Sus scrofa: one gene and its partners. The protein of the gene in region 3 purifies or fractionates together with the protein of the main gene of each other region. This does not show direct contact. Links are inferred from orthologs where the notes say so. Each region holds a gene or a part of one and is shown on either strand. Other genes may lie near its edges.

Evidence for each region. The genes of interacting proteins can lie anywhere in the genome.
Region 1: the proteins of ISG15 (region 3) and ubiquitin-conjugating enzyme E2 N-like purify together in Homo sapiens (affinity purification with western blotting; 3 studies listed by BioGRID, with this or other methods). This does not show direct contact. The link is inferred for Sus scrofa from reciprocal best matches to the Homo sapiens genes ISG15 and UBE2N.
Region 2: the proteins of ISG15 (region 3) and FLNB purify together in Homo sapiens (affinity purification with mass spectrometry; 3 studies listed by BioGRID and IntAct, with this or other methods). This does not show direct contact. The link is inferred for Sus scrofa from reciprocal best matches to the Homo sapiens genes ISG15 and FLNB.
Region 4: the proteins of ISG15 (region 3) and HSPB1 purify together in Homo sapiens (affinity purification with mass spectrometry; 3 studies listed by BioGRID, with this or other methods). This does not show direct contact. The link is inferred for Sus scrofa from reciprocal best matches to the Homo sapiens genes ISG15 and HSPB1.

The regions. Positions count from the first base shown.
Region 1 is NC_010443.5:26,023,902-26,028,697, forward strand, and holds the start of ubiquitin-conjugating enzyme E2 N-like, read left to right. Parts: upstream 1-1,906; 5' UTR 1,907-2,278; intron 2,279-4,796. UniProt on the Homo sapiens protein: The UBE2V1-UBE2N and UBE2V2-UBE2N heterodimers catalyze the synthesis of non-canonical 'Lys-63'-linked polyubiquitin chains. This type of polyubiquitination does not lead to protein degradation by the proteasome.
Region 2 is NC_010455.5:39,787,544-39,792,148, reverse strand, and holds the start of FLNB (filamin-B), read right to left. Parts: upstream 2,891-4,605; 5' UTR 2,252-2,890; coding exon 1,960-2,251; intron 1-1,959. UniProt on the Homo sapiens protein: Connects cell membrane constituents to the actin cytoskeleton. May promote orthogonal branching of actin filaments and links actin filaments to membrane glycoproteins. Anchors various transmembrane proteins to the actin cytoskeleton.
Region 3 is NC_010448.4:63,361,751-63,365,062, reverse strand, and holds ISG15 (ubiquitin-like protein ISG15), read right to left. Parts: upstream 1,863-3,312; 5' UTR 1,787-1,862; coding exon 1,784-1,786; intron 1,382-1,783; coding exon 881-1,381; 3' UTR 852-880; downstream 1-851. Other genes in the region: uncharacterized protein LOC110261384, read left to right, coding at 1-300.
Region 4 is NC_010445.4:10,037,484-10,041,244, forward strand, and holds HSPB1 (heat shock protein beta-1), read right to left. Parts: upstream 1,959-3,761; coding exon 1,589-1,958; intron 932-1,588; coding exon 868-931; intron 781-867; coding exon 591-780; downstream 1-590. UniProt on the Homo sapiens protein: Small heat shock protein which functions as a molecular chaperone probably maintaining denatured proteins in a folding-competent state. Plays a role in stress resistance and actin organization.

The DNA of each region.
Region 1 (4,796 bases), on a different chromosome or scaffold from region 3:
TTAATTTTTCCCTCCTCCCTTCTCTTCCTTGTGGTCATTGCTTCATTCATTTCACTTAAACATAAACTATAATCAAACATATTTTTGCTATTATTATTTTGAACAAACTGTTATCTGGTAAATTAATTAGGAAAAATGAGGAGGTTTTATTTTACTTCCACTTATTCCTTCTCTAATCCTCTTCATTTCTTTTTTTTTGTCTTTTTGTTGTTGTTGTTGTTGCTATTTCTTGGGCCGCACCCGCGGCATATGGAGGTTCCCAGGCTAGGGGTCAAATCGGAGCTATAGCCACCGGCCTACGCCAGAGCCACAGCAACACGGGATCCGAGCCGCATCTGCAACCCACACCACAGCTCACGGCAATGCCGGATCGTCAACCCACTGAGCAAGGGCAGGGACCGAACCCGCAACCTCATGGTTCCCAGTCGGATTCGTTAACCACTGAGCCACAACGGGAACTCCCCTCTTCGTTTCTTATTCAGGTTTCTGACCTGTATCATTTTCCTTCTCTCTGAAGAATCTCTTTGAACATTTCTTTCAAGGTATGTCTTTTGGAAACAAATTCTCTCAGTTTTTGTTTGTATGAGAAAGTCTAAATTTATCTTTCACTTTTGAAGAATAATTTTGTAGGGTACAGAATTCAGGTTGATTTTTTTTCCCCTTCTGAACACTTTAAATTTCACTCTGCTCCACTTCCATGGTTTCTGAGAAGTTGCATGTAATTTTCATCTTTGCTCTACTATAAGTAAGGCTTTTTTCCTCTCCTCTGGCTTCTTTCGAGATTTTTCTTTATTTTTGATCTTCTGTAGTTTGAATATGATATGCCTAGGTGTAGTGTTTTTTGGAACTATTCATGATTGATGTCTCTGACATTAGCATTTTACATTAATTTAAAGAAAATTGCTGTCCTTATTGCTTCAAATATTTCTCCTATTACTTTCTCTTCCTGGTATTCCCATTATACATATGTAACACTTTTTTATAGTTGTCTCACAGTTCTTAGATATTATCTTTTGGGTTTTTTTTCCATTTTTTTTTTCCCTCTTTGCATCTCTGTTTTGGAAGTTTCTATTAACATTTCCTTAAGCTCAGAAATTCTTTCCTCAGCTGTGTCCAGCCTACTGATTAGCCCATCAAATGCATTTTTTTATTTCTGTTACAGTGTTTTGGTTCCAGCATTTCTTTTTGGTACTTTCTAAGAATTTCCATCTCTCTGCAGACATTGCCCATCTGTTCTTGCATGTTGTCTATTTTTTCCATTAGCCCTTTGCATATTCATCATATTTATTTTACATTCCTGGTGTAATAATTCTAACAACATTCTTGCCATATCTGAATCTATTCCACTTTATTATTATGTAATGCTCCTCTATATCTCTGATAACTTTTATTGCTCTGAAGTCTGCTCTGTCTAAAATTAGTAGAGTTACTCCTGAATTTTTTTGACTGGTGTTAGCATGGCATATCTTTCTCCATGCCTTTATTTTTAATTTACGTATGTCTTTATTTATATATGCATGCATTTGGTCACACCTACAGCATGTGGATGTTCCTGGGCCAGGGATTGAACATTGCTCTGGCTCTTCAAATGGTGTCTGTCTTTTGCCTTTTAGTATGCCTTACAAGTTTTTCTTGAAAGATGGACTTGTACTGAGTAAAAGGAACTGCAGTAAATAGGCCTTTAATGATGTGGTGGTTAGGTGTGGGGGAAGGGAAAATGTTTTATAGTTTTATGATTAGGTGTCAGTCTTTTGATGAGCCTGTGCTGCTGGGCTGTGAACGTCACACGTGCTTCTCTGTTGTTGTGGGTTTTTTTTTTTTTTTGCCCCACTCCCCCCCCTTAATTGGAACAAGATGCCTAGAGGAGCAGGAGTTGCGTATTTCGCTTCCCCAGTGTAAGAATAGAGCCAGCTGGGGCTGGGCATTTCCCTTCCCCTAGGTCAGTTAGGCACAGATAAAATCCCAGCAGGTTAGGCCCTAGAAAATAGCTTCTCCTGCAGGCGGACCTTGTTAAGAAGTGAGTGCTCTGGCACATTTCAAGGTGGTTCCTCTTCGGCTCCTTCTTCAGGAAACACAAGAAGATTTTCCTCTCAGATCTCCACTGTGAGAGTCTAGTAGGGCTCCTAGAGGCAAAGCTCACAAAGTGTGGATTCCTCTGGAATATTTAATTCTCCGATTTGTCTACTCTGCGGCTCCAGCCACCTGTCAAATACAGTTCAGCTTTCCTGACTGCGGCACTGGTTCCTGAGGAGGTTTCTGCTTGTGGGTTTCCGCTCTGGTAAGTTGTGATTTTCTGTGTCTCCCTGTCTCTCTAATGTGAGGGCCCGAGATTTGCCCTGAGACCTTCGTTCTCTCATGGATTTAAGAGTGGGTGATTTTTCAGTTTGTTCGGCTTTTTCTTGTTTTTAGAATGGAGGAATGACTTTCAAGCTCCTTCCAGGCCAGACCAGGAACTGCACCCCTTTTCCTTTTTATAAAATGATACCTGAGTGATATTTTCTGATCCAGTGTAGAATTTAGTGAAAACGTCTACATTCTGGTCATTGTTGCTATATTATTCCCTTCCGTTAATCCTTTTGGGCTATAATTGTTTCCCCAAATACTTTTTAGCTGTTAACAGTCTAGTTCTTTCCTCTGTTTGTTTTTCTTCAATTCCACTCCCACTCTGTCTTGGAGTGCTAACAACCAGTACCACCCATGTGTGCCAGTTGGGTCAACATTTAAACAAGGATGTACTGTTTACACTGTTGTTTCTAACATTCTGGTTGCAAACACCGCTTTGTGCTTTGTGAATTGAATTGGTGACAGGTGAAACTTAGGCTGATGGCAGAGAATTTGGGGTTATAAATGATGGTTCGAAGCTAGATTTATTTCGTTTTCTCTAAACCTATTAAATCTGTCCAGGTTGAAGCTCACTTGTATTGTATGCACTCACATTACGTAGAGAAATGGCTTTCAGCCTTGCCTTTGTAATAGATTCACTGGCTCTATTTCTATTTAATTGGTCTAGATGGGTCCTGGTATCAGTATTTCTGAAAGTTCCTTGAGTAATTCTACCATGCAATTTGAGGTAAGTCCATTGGTCTGTAGCAATGGTCAGCAAAACTTTTCTTTAAGGAGCGGAGAGTAAATATTTTAGGCTTTGAAGATCATTTGAAGATCATATATTCTCTACTGTAATTACTCAGCTCTCATGTAGCCGCCACAGGCAAATGGGCATGGCTATGCTCTAACAACTTCCTTTCTAGAGACCAAAATTCTAATTCATATACTTTTCATGTGTCATGAAATATTCTTATTCATTTGATGTTTTTTTTCAACTATTAAAAAATATAGGAGTTCCCGTTGTGACTTGGCAGTTAACAAACCTGACTAGGATCCATGAGGATCCCTGGCCTTGCTCTGTGGGTTAAGGATTCGGCGTTGCCATGAGCTGTGGTGTAGGTCTCAGACACGGCACAGATCTGACATTGCTGTGGCTGTGGTGTAAACCAGCAGCTGTAGCTCTGATTCAACCCCTAGCCTGGGAACCTCCATATGCTGCGAGCGCAGCCCTAGGAAGAACAAAAAAAAAAAGTACAGATTGGTTTTGTCTTACAGGATTTACGATAACAGTCTGCAAGTGGGATTTGGCCTAGGGACTGTTGTTTGGCAGTTCCTAGTTAATGGTTTATTTTCTTCACTGCTTCAATTTGGTTCCAAAAGAGAAAATGTTTCCTTAGTTACATCACTGATAATATCTTCAATGAATCCCAGAACTGACTACTTATTTTAAGTCAGTTTATCAGAACATTTTTAAACATGGCAATGCATTTCCTTATTAGGCTCTGAAGTTGTGGCCATTGAGATGCTTTTATCTATGAGTAACAAGCATGGCTTAAAAGGCTTTCAACAGTAGGAAAGGTATTATCTCATTAAAATAGAGAGAATTGCAGGGCTATTGTTATTTGAAAATGTCATCAGCCCAGATGTTTTCCATCTTTCATTCTACTATCCTCAATATTAGTCCTGCCTGATGTCTTGCCTCATGGTGGCAAGATGGCTGTAGTAGCCCTGGGCATCACATGCAGACTCACAACATCCAAAAAAAACAAAGAATAATTCCTTCCTTGAATTTATTTTGAATGTGGGGCAGTCTATTTTTAGACCAAGGCCCTCCTCCTATGTAAATCTCCCCTTAAGTCTCAAGGACCAAATCAGGCCCTGGTGAAGGAATTGAGATTACCATGATTACCTATCATGATGCTTGCCTTGGCTTCAGGATCTGGTCTGCCTTTCACAGGTGGCCCCAGGATCCCAGAATCAAATCAGGGTTCTGATAGCAAAGGAAGAGGAAGAAATGGCAGTGGGGCAAAAAAAAAAAAAAGTCTCACACAGAACTAGATTGTTAGGATTAAAAAAAATAAGGCGGCTGTCTCCTAAACTCCTCATTTCCATTTGTTTATTTACTTCCTTTAAAAGACCATTAGACAATTGTTGAGTACAATTTTCCTGAAAGATAGCTTATTGATTTTTCACTCAAGTAGGTTACATTTTGCTTCAGCCTTCAAAGACATTTCTATTACTCCCTTCAGATTACATTTAAAAAGGAATGTATCCGATTTTGGCTTACTTTGTTCTTTTTCTAAACCTGTACCACGTTGTGTGTGTAGCATAAAAATGTCCATGTCAAAAAAGGTTTAAAAAGAGTCATCACTTTTTTCTTTTCATTTTGAACTATCAAAAGATTGTTTCGTTTTGCAGGTTGTACTCTGGAAATAGTAAAAGTAGTTTTCCCTCCAAAATTAAGGACCTAA
Region 2 (4,605 bases), on a different chromosome or scaffold from region 3:
TGTGGTGGGAAGAGGTCCATAGCAAGAAGCTGCCAACAATCCACAGGCCACAACTGGGGAAGGGGAGGCTAACCCTGGAATGTCAGGAAAAGGGAAGAAGCTATGGCCTGGGTGGGTTCAGGAATGAAAATCACAAGGATCAAGTAGAAACATGTAAGGGACCAGACAAACTCTAGAATGAGACCCTCAATTTCAGGGCACCAAAGGGAAGCCATGCGGGAGGCAGCTGCAGACTCTGTCAACAGTTGGTAAAGTGGGCAGTCCAGGATTTTCTGGTGCTGTGGTCTGATGTTTGTTTTGGTTTTTAAGATTTCTTGCCATGCATGTTTGGATACTCCTGGTTTACTTTAAGTTTCTTTGTTCAGTTAATTAAATAAATACACATTTTTCAGGCAAAGAACAAGGGATCCAAGTTGAGCCCTGTAGCCCTGGAGATTCCTCAGTGGGAAAGCTGGTTTCTGAAAAGGAAAGAATTCCAGGAGAAATCTGAGGTTCCCCCTTCCCTCATTACAGAAGATGGGCCCCCAAAAGAAGAGAGCATGCCACACAGCTTCCTTGTGCAGGGAAGCCACCCTCCAGAGGGAGGCTGACGGGGCGGTGGCTGCTGCCTGGGCCCAGGAAGCAGCCCCACCTGCCAGGACAGGTGTGGGGGAGGGTGGGGAGAGGATGAGGAGACTCAGCCCAGAGGGAACCCCTTTTAGGCTGGAAAGTCCCAGCAGTCACACCCAATGCCCCTCCTTCCTGTCAGGGGGTTAATAGAAGGCCTGGCCTCCTCAAGAAGGGACCCTAGACCCAGGCCTGGGCCAGCTGCTCAATGGCAAGAGGCTCACCTGGCAGAACATGCATACAATGTATGTGCACACCACGCTGTGCACAGACTGCACATATACTCACAAACGCACACTACACACCCCTGACTCCTACCCTTACAACCCACACCCTCAGCAGCCTTATGACCCTGCGGGAAGCCCTCCACTAGCCCTGGTCCTAGCGGGGACCTCACCCTCATCACTCCTCCCCAGCCTTGGGGGGAGAGGAACCCAACGCCAACTCCCTCCCTCCTCTCAGGAAGACCCTGGTGTGGGGAGGGCGGGGAGAGGAAGGCCAAGTCTCCTTTAATTGTCACCCGCTTCCTTCAATTCTCGGCTAGACCCTCTCTACTTCCATAGCCCTGGGCAAGCCCGTTAACCCTCTGGACCCTCTTGTCTTACACGCCCCAACTCACGGGGTGTGTAAGGACCGAGTTAACAGGAGGCTGTTGGCACACAGCGCGCACTAGCTCCCTACAAGCGGCCGCTACCGCCGCCGACTCTCAATAGTATCTTCAGAGGCGAGAGCTGGCTCAGCTCGCAGCGCGGGGCCAGAGCGAGCGCGAATGCCACACCCCCGGGCTCCCCTTCCGGAGACGGCGAGGGAGGGTCCCAGGCCCCCGTCTCCACCTAGGCGGCAGGGCCCCAGTTTCGGAGCACACTCCCTCCCCAAGGCCTCCGCACCTGGCCTCCGAGCCAACGCCCATCAGGCGACCGCCCAGCGCATCGGCCTGGGCGCAGCTGGGCGAGCGCTCCAGGGAGCGTCTGACTAGGGCCCCACCCCCGGGGACTGCCGACCAGAGGTTTCCAGTCCCCCAGCTTCCGCAGGGGCACCCCAAGTGCCACAGCCCGCACTCCCCCCAAGCGGCCCCAACATGAACCCTCAACCCATCGCCCGCCAAAGGCGCACGGCCCCGGCGCAAGGCAAGGAACTATCACTGTAAGACAGCACCCCAGGGAACGGCATGCAGGAGGGTGCCTAGGTCCCCTTTGTCCTCACCCCCACCCACCCCGGCCTCTGTGCCCACATCCAGCCGGTGGCTGCTGGACGCGGCGGAGGCGCGCGACAGGGAGCCTCAGTCTCCTCAGGGGCGCACGCGCGGGGGCGCGAGAAGTACACGCCGGCGCACGGCTCGGCCAGGGCACTCACCGATGGACACGAGCTTGATGTTCTCACGGTCCAGGAACTCGAGCGCCACGGACACGTTCTCAAGCTGCATCTGGCGGAAGGTGGGCCGCTGGTGGTACTTGCGGTACATGTGCTTCTGGCTAAGCACCTCCAGCAGCGCGATGAGCCGAAGCCCGTCGCTCAAGTCGGTCTGCAGGTTTCCGATGCGTTTGTTCACGCACTTGAGGTGCTCGTTGCACCAACGCGTGAACGTGTTCTGCTGGATCTTCTTCCAAGGCGCGTCCTCCGCCAGATCCTTCTCGGTTACCGGCATCTTGGCGGCGGGGAGAGCGCTATGAGCAGTGAGCTGCCGGGGACTGGCGTCGGGAGGCCCAAGGGCCGGGGGAGCGAAAACCAAAGCGGAGCGGGAGCGGGGCTCGAACTCGCTGCTACCAAAGCCGCGGCCGGGACTGCTCTGCGCCCGCCTGCCCCTGGCCGCGCGAGGCGCCTGGCCCCGCGCCTGCGCACTGAGACGACCCGCCCCTGAAGCTCCGCCCCGTCCCGACCCTCTGGCGGGAGTTCCCGGGTCACGCTTGCCCCCTGCAGCTCCAAATGAGCACTGCGCCCTGCGAGCTGCAAGGCGTCCGGGACCGGCGCTCGGTGTTCATTGCCTCTGCAGAAGAAAGCTAGGCAGGAGATGTCCGGCTACTCAAGAGGAAGGTCACCAGGTCCCATAGTGAGGGCACTTGCAGAAGTAGGGATCTGGGCTGGACGGAATGGACAGGGACGACGGCGTAGATCACAGGGAATGGAGTTGGTGCAGAAGGTACTTTTTCCATCTAGGTTCAATAAGATTCCATAAGGATTTTTATTGAGTTCCTGCTGTGCCAGGCACTATGTTAGGTCCTGGAGGACATCGTGAAAGTAATGGACATTTTACTTTTCATATTAATTAAACTCGTATGAATTGTCAGTCACAGTATTTATTGAGTGCCTACTGCGTGCTAACCTTCCTAGAGCTTGCCAACCAATGATAAGACAAACTTATAACTTAACCTAGACTTCATAGACTAATATATGAGAAAAATATAAAACCATCACAAAAAGCTTAATGGCAGTGATACAAATGAATGATAATTTACTGTGTGTATTAGTTTCCTAATGCTCCTGTAACAAATTACCAAAGCTCTGTTTTTAAAAAACAAAAACACACATTGTTATCTTGCTTTTTTTTAGTTTAGAGTCCCTCACTTGTCTCACTGAGCTAAAATCCAGGTATTGGCAGGATGCATTTCTTTCTGGAGGCTCAAGGGAAGAATCCATTCCCTTGCCCTTTCCAACTTCTGGAAGCTTCCTGAATTTCTTGGCTATGTCCTCTTCCTCCATCTTCAAAACCAGCCACATCAGGCTGAGTTTTTCTACACTGTTATCTCTCCCATTCTCCATAGTCACATCTTCCTCTAATTATCTTAAGGATCCATCTGGGAAGAGGCATTGGGCAGAATGAATGTCAAGGGCTTCCAGCTGTGGAAGAAGCCAGCAGATCTGTGGTTGGGATGCTCTATAACAGGTCATTTGTAAACAAGGTAAAGTGCTTTCTTCTGACAGATTGCCTCACTCACTGGAAATGCTCAAAACAGCCTTGAGGGAGAGAAGGTATTATTACCTGGCCCTGACCCTAGCCCATTGTTGAGATCAATAATTTTTTGAAGGCTCATTCCCCTCTTGAGTGATTAAGTGAAGAGATTTGCTGGAGGTCAGTTGGTAAGGACTGGATAAAGCTGAACTTGAACCTAGGTCTAACTCCAAAGTATGTACTACACCTAAAAGCCCCCATGCTCTTCCCAGCTTGGGCCTTGCCTTTGTGAGTAGCAGATTCACCAGTAGGCAGTGTTGGTAATGTTACCTACCCCGTGCCCAAGGGTTCTTGTTCCTCATGCTTTCTTCCACCCAAAGGCACTCATCAAAATGTATCAGCCAGGGCCTCATTCCCAAAGGGACATCCTCTCTGCTATTAGGTGAGACTGGGACTAATGCGATCACTTCAGCTCACTCAGCAGCTGATAATGCACCAAAGTTCTTTTTTTGGGGGGGGGGGCACACCCGCAGCATATGGAGGTTCCCAGGCTAGGGGTCTAATTGGAGCTGTAGCCGCCAGCCTATGCCAGAGCCACAGCACCTCCGCTCCGAGCCACGTCTGCGACCTACACCACAACTTACAGTAATGCCGGATCCTTAACCCACTGAGCAAGGCCAGGGATCAAACCCAAATCCTCATGGATGCTAGTGGGATTTGTTAACTGCTGAGCCATGATGGGAACTCCTAAAGTTCTCCTTTCTTATGAGATATTTCTGTTTTCACCAGACCTTGACACGAATAACTAAATTTAAGTTCTGCATGTAAATTAATATCCAGTCCACTTCACTCTGAGTGAGACATCCTTGTCTTAGGATGTGTCTGGTGAAACTCTCCATCCAATTAGAAGACACTTAAGAGTTCACTAGAAAGCAGTTTATGCGGAGTGACCAGGACTCAGCAACCATGATGGAGCATGATGGAGGAGGGTAGCCTTAGTGACAAGGTCTTTAAGTGGCCCTTTATCAATATTTGATAAAAGATGAGGGCCAAACACCTCAAGGCATGCATTTTTGCAGGGAGCATTTTAACTGCATTCTACAGGTTTGCCT
Region 3 (3,312 bases):
GAGCAGCGGAAGAGACCCCTCTGGAGGAGGACGCTACTCCGCCCAGACCCTGGTGGAGGGATTCAAAAGAGGAGGGTGGCGCTGAGGGTGTGTGCTCACACTAAGTTACGGTATGACACAGAGGTGGGGGTGGAGGTGCAGGAAGTGAGGCTGGAGCCAGGAGCACCCCCGCCGATGCACCCTCACCTGCATATCTACACATATATCTGTCACAGGCAGGTCTGCTCCCCCTCCCCCACTCAGCTGTGGACCCCCACAGACCAGGAAGGAGGCTTCTGGGTCTTCAGCCAAATGCCCTGAAGAGCCCGAAAGCAGAGGTCCTCAGAGCCATGCCCAGAGAGGTCCACGTCCTGTGCTCCTGCCTCCCCCATGTCCAGGGCTGACTCAGCCTGGCTCCTGTGGGGCTCACGGGGGAGGCTGGCTTCCCTCACAGCTCACCCAGACAGGCCACAGGGGCTCATGCCCCCACTGCTTCCAGGGGCACTCACCTGGCCAGGCCTTCTCCTCCCTGTGCTATCTGCTGACCCAGATGTGGGGCTGCAGAGCTGACCACGGCACAGCAGGAAGACAAGGATGGGCTCTAGCGGCTGTGCCTCTTTTTATTTCTCTAGAAGGTAATTTCCCAAAGATGTGGGGACACATCTTCGATTTCTCTGGTGTGTGTGGGGCACCATTTTGATCCCACAAGGCTTGTCCCTTAACTTGGCAACTCTAGTCTGGTGACCACCCAGCAACCTCTGGGTCCCCTCATCCCACTCCCTCCTCCATCTCACCTCCTGTCTCACCAAAATGGGTGCAGAATGGAGGACTGACACCGAGATGGTGCTGGCCAGAGAAGAATGGACGCTTTGTTACACTCAATTTTGCCACAGCTTTATTACTAGCACTCGGTGAGGTGCTCCCCTGGCCCTGTCCCGCCCCCCCGCAGGCGCAGATTCATATACACGGTGCACATAGGCTTGAGGTCATACTCCCCCAGCTGGTGCTCATCCTCCATGGGCTTCCCCTCGAAAGTCAGCCAGAACTGGTCAGCTTGCACGCCCTCCTGCTGACACACCTGCTGCTTGAGCTCAGCCACTGTCTGCGTCAGCCAGACCTCATAGGCGTTGCTGCGACCCTTGTCGTTCCTCACCAGGATGCTCAGTGGGTCTCTGAAGCTTTGCACCATCAACAGGACTGTGCTGCCTGGGCCCAGGCCCTGGTTGACCAGGGGCACCCCATCCTGAAGCACATTGCCGGCTGGGTGAGCCAGACGCTGCTGGAAGGCGGGCACACCGATCTCCCGGGCGATCTGCTGCTTCAGGTCCGATGCCATCATGCAGTCCCTCAAGGGCACCAGGATCTCCTTGCCTCCCAGCATCTTCACCTTCAGTTCCCTACCCTGTGGGCGTCACACAGGCTCAGAGACCCTGTCACCAGTCCCAGGGCCACCACATAGTGGGGCAAAAGCTCCTAGAGCCCAGGAGTGCTGCTCCCTCCTCCCTACCCTCCCCACCCTCCAGGAGGGGGACCCCGGGCACTGGAGAGGGCAAGGGGGCATTTCTAGAATGGCCACCACCCACAACCATCATGTCACCTCCCTTCACCAGCTAAGATGCCTCCCTGTGCCGACCCCAAGGGATCTCAGCCCTCTGAGGACACAGACCCTGACGTCAGGAGGAGCCCCATCCCTCCCCTCATGCTTAGGAACCTGGCGGGCCCTGAGCAGCTCTGTCTGCCTGGTACACATAGGTGTTCTGCCCCTGGGAGAGGCCACCTGCCCCACCTGTCAAACCCCCCTCACCATGGCCGTGGGCTTTGGCGACAGGTCCTCTGTGAGCTCTGCTTCGCTGCCTCTGTGCGCTCTGCGTCGCTGCCGCTCAGCTCGCCGCTGCTCTTCAGCCGTGGCGGCTCAGCCCTTTAAAAAGCCTGAGCAGCCGCGTCAGAGGGCGGAGTCCAGGAGCCAACCACCGCGGGAGCCGAAATCGAAATCGGCTTCAGTTTCGGTTTCCTTTTCCCAAGGCAGGCTCCGGAGTGCATGGCAGGAAAAAACAAATAGCAATGACAGGACATTGAGGAAGGGGGTACAGAGTCTCTCCAGCTGCCAGCCAGGCACACGACAGCATCCCCGCCTCCAGAGGTACGTGTTCAGAAACCCCCGGCACGCCCAGTGCCTCACATCCTTTTCACGATGCACAAATAGCATCATAATACCGAGAGCTAACAATTGGCAACTTTCACTTTCCATTTACCAGTTTGCAAAATTAGGAACCTTGGAAATCATTGCCGGGGTTAATTCAGAAATAGCAAAACATAGTGACAGTCCAACCAAGCCAGAGATAACAACCATTGGTTTATGACAATATTTATTCAGGTTTTTTATTCAGATTTTTTAAATGAAAGAGATGTGTCTTTTATTTTCCATGAAAATGAACTCACGAATACTATTGGCAAGGTAAAAAAACTATCTACAAAATGGGAGAAAATATTTGCAAGTCATGTGTCAGTTAAGGGCCTAGTATCCATAATACATAAGGAACGTTTACAACTCAACAACAAAAAGATAAACAACTCATTTAAAAGTTGGGCAAAAGACTTCACAGACAGTTTAAAATAGAAAATACGTAAATGGCCAACAACCACATGAAAAGATGCTCAACATCACTGGCCATCAAGGAAATGCACATCAAAACCACAGCGAGATACCATGTCACACCCACTAGCATGACAATAATAATAACAACGATTAAAAAGAGAACAGTAACAAGTGCTGGTGAAGGTGTGGAGACATTGGAATCCTCATACATTGCTGATGGGAATGAGAAGTGGTGCAGCCACTGTGGAAAACAGTCTAGTCAATCCTCAAAATGTTAAACAGAATTTTCATGTGATTCAGCAATTGCATTTCTGGGCACAGGCCCTAGAGACCCGAAGACAGGTGTTCAAACAAATGCTTGCACAGAAATGTTAACAGCAACTCCGTTCACAGTAGAGGAGTCATAGAAATGGGGTGGGGGGAGGAACCAAATCCATCAGCAGGTGGAGGCCTCACCAAAGTATGGCCCATCCTGGAGTTCCCGTCGTGGTGCAGTGGTTAACGAATCCGACTAGGAACCATGAGGTTGCGGGTTCGGTCCCTGCCCTTGCTCAGTGGGTTAACGATCCAGCGTTGCTGTGAGCTGTGGTGTAGGTTGCAAACGTGGCTCGGATCCTGTGTTGCTGTGGCTCTGGCCTAGGCCGGTCGACTAGCCTGGGAACCTCCATGTGCCGCGAGAGCGGCCAGAGAAATGGCAAAAAGACAAAAAAAAAAAAAAACCAAAAAAACAAAAACAA
Region 4 (3,761 bases), on a different chromosome or scaffold from region 3:
TGACTGTTCCTGCCAGGCCAGTCAAGGCCCCATCCTGCCTGCACAGGCCTGGGGGAACGGAGGCCACCGCCTCAGATGGGTGGCCACCCCTCCCATCCCGTCTTTGCGGTCCTGCTCTTCTCCGTGGAGATGAGGAGGTTATGATGCGGTCAGGAAGGAACCCTGAGCTGCCGGGACGTCCCCCTCCCTCGCCCCCTGCCCAGGTGTCCTGAGTGCCTCGGCCGGGTGCCTCTCCTGGCGTCCCTGCTCCCACACTGGCCCCGGGGGCTTTAACTGCCGCATAAACAGTCTCTCCCTCAACAAGGGACTGGAGGGCAGGGCTGTGCCCTGTGATGGACGCAGCACGCACAGGGGCCAGCACAGGGCTTGGCACACAGGAGGCCCTCGGCAAACGTGATGAGTGCGTGAACCAGGAGTGACGCCTGAGCCTCCACAAGCACACCAGGGTCTGAGACAGTGGCGGGCAGTTGCTTTGAACTTTATTCGAGAAAAACAGAAGGTAGACGTATCAAAAGAGCACAGAGAGTTGGCAGGTGGGGATGGCTGGTGCGGGTTTGGGCGGGGGGCGGTGAGCAGCAGGGCGAAGGCCTTTACTTGGTTCCGGGCTTTTCCGACTTTCCAGCTTCTGTGCCCCCAAGCTGGGCCCGCGCCTCGAAAGTGACAGGGATGGTGATCTCTGCCGACTGGGTGGCTGGCTTGGGCAGCGGGGCCTCCACGCTGAGCGTGCCCTCAGGGGACAGGGAGGAGGAGACCTGGGTGGGGTCCACACCGGGGGGCAGCCTGGACAGGGAGAGGCAGGACAGGAGTGACCCACGGTGCGTCCCTGGGCCCTCCCCACCCCCCACCCCACCCGGAGCCAGGACTCACGTGTATTTTCGAGTGAAACACCGGGAAATGAAGCCGTGCTCATCCTGCCGCTCCTCGTGCTTGCCTGGGTGGGGGAGGGAGGTCAGAGGAGGCCTGAAGGGGCCGGCGCTCCCGCTGGCCCACAGCCAGCCGAGCCCCACCCGGTGGCCAGAACGCTTGCCAGGAGAGGACTAAGGGATGTGGGTACCCCAGACCTGTCCCGGGACCTCAGAAGCTTCTGGAAAGTTCGGTTCCAGGAGTCTGGGGCTGGGGCGTGGGGCAGCAGCCATGGGCACGCACACACGCCCCCTCCGAGGACCTGGACTAGGGATGGGGAGGAAGTGCGTGCGTGTGCGTGCGCGTGTCGGGGGAGGGGGTCGCCCTTGCCACACCAACTGCAGGCCGGGGGCCGGGGGCCGGGGGGGGGCGGCGCGGCGCGGGGAGACCTGGTCCCTCGCGGATGGCGTTGGGGCTGAGGGCGTCTCCGCTGGAAGGGGGCGTTTCTTCCCTGACTGGAGAGCTTTTAGGGCCAAAAGATCCCTTAGGACTTAGGAGCACCCCCCCCAAAGTCCAGGGAAGCAGGCACAGGCCAGGGGCAGGGCGAAGAGGCCAGGCCGGCTCCCCGGGCTCTGGCCCCGTCCTCGGCTAAGTTTCCATTTTCCAGGGCTCCTCCCCGGAAAGAGCGCGAGAGGCAGCGCGGGAGGGGCGGGGGGTGGGCGCGTCCCGGTCCCCGGGGGCTCACCCGTGATCTCCACCACGCCGTCCTTGGTCTTGACCGTCAGCTCCTCGGGGGCGAAGTGGTTGACGTCCAGGGAGACGCGCCAGCGGTCGGCAGTCTGCTGGATCTCCGAGACGCCGCTGCTGAGCTGCCTGCTGAGCAGGCGGCTGTAGGCGGGCGCGGCCACTGCGGCGGGGCCCTCGATGGCGGGCGGGGGCAGCGGGCGCACGTAGCCCGGCCAGCCGCTGTGGCTCAGCCACTGCGACCACTCCTCGGGCAGCCGGGGCAGCCCGAAGGCCTGGTCGAAGAGGCGGCTGTGGGCCGGGTACCAGTCGCGGAAAGGGTCCCAGCTGGGGCTCCGCAGGAGCGAGAAAGGCACACGGCGCTCAGTCATGCTGGCTGCGCTGGCTGGACGCGTCCGGCTGCGGCTGGGAGAAGGGGAGTTAGTGTCGGTGGGCCGAGCCCGCAGCGCTTTTATAATGGGCCAGCCGGGTATTTTTAGCAGGCGGTGTTTCAGGTCTCTATTAATGGCAATGACTGGCTGGGGGCAGCCCCTCCCCCTGCATTCCCCCAACTGCATACCGGGGCGCGGGGCGGGGCGAGGGAGGCCCTGCCCACATCTGGAACCTTCTCCTGTTTGAGAAAACAAATGACTGTAGCCCCGATGCTGGTGCAGTGCCCGCTGCCTAACACTGGCAGATTTCGGCGCTAAAGCGCTGGGCCGCAGCCTGTGGACAGTCCTGGCTTTTTGTGCAAGAGGACAAAGCCGAGGGAGTGGTCGCGCTGCTCGGGGCCACACAGCAGGGACTGGCAGAGCAGGGAGATGGACCACAGGGTGTCTGTGAAATAATGGCTTAAGAAGCAACATGGTGAGGAGTGTGGGCCTGAGAGTCCAGACTGTGTGAGTTCACATCCTGGTCCTGCCACTCACTGGATGAACTTGTACAAGTGAGAGTCTTTGTGCCTCAGTTTCGCCACCGGGAAAATGGGGGTGATGATGATGACAATGCTTCCGTCCCTGAGTTGGTGTGAGGATTCGGCAGCTTAATGCGAGTGAAGGTTTTAGTCCAGGGCCTGGTGGGTGACCGTTACTGTCAGCCACCTGGAGTTGCAGGGCACAGACGGAGGAAGCGGAGCTCAGAGGCAGCAGCATGTGGACGTTTGGGCGATGTCCCCCGGACCCCCTAGTAGGGGAGACCCAGACCAGAAACCCTGAGGCCTAGTGTTGAAAGGGGGTCAGGAGGGAGGTTATTGTCAAAACTCCCCATTGTATCCACTTTGCCTTGAGCTGGGGACAGGGAACCTGAGATGCAGCGGCCTTGAATCTAGTCTGGGCTTTGGCTTGGGCCAAGGCCCCTCCTTTCCCTTTTTACAGATTATGACCTCAGAGCCCTTTTGTTTAGCATTCCCACAGCACAGAGGGAGAGGGGCTCTAGGCAGTGCAATTCCTGCACACTTGCTGGGAGCCTGAGGCCTGCTCCTTGACCCCACCTCCTGGGTGAGCACCTGTGGGATCCAGGCCTCCACTCCCACCTCCCGTAGGGTCTGGCCACAACCTTGGCGTTCTCTCTTTCTCATTGCCCTGACTCCAGTCCAGCCTGCCTTCTCTGACTTGCATCCTGTTATCCCTCCTTTTCAGATGAGGAAACCGAGGTCCAGAGGGATTAAGTGCCTGGTCCACCGTCTCCTCTGAGACACGACAGAGTAAGATTCTTGCCCCTCTCGTGTTCAGGGCTCTTACCCTTGTGGGGCTCCCACCTTGGAGCCCTTCCTCTCCTTTTGAGACCCGCTCTCTCCAGGGGCTGGGCTGAGATTGTACTCCTGCCAGTTCCATGGGGGGCCTTGCTCTGCTCAGGATTCCTGAGTGGCTGGAAGCCAGATTCCAGGCCTCTCAACAAGCTGGGGGACACCAGCCTCATGCCCTTCCTGAGCCTCAGTTTCCACCACAGTTTCCTCTTCGAGAGAGAGCACTGCCAGATAGTTTTCTTGCTCACCCACCTGCTCCCCATCAGGAAAGAGCTAAGGTTGGGCCACAAATCCAAGGTCACCTCTGGAAAGGCCTCTGGGCACCTGGAGCTCTCATGAGGCAAGGGTAGAAGGCAGACAGAATGCTGGACCATGTTGGGAGCATGCTGGGTCTCCATGGGGAGCTGCTCGCTGCCTCCCAAGGGTCTCAGCCTCAGGAAGCCCCGGGCCT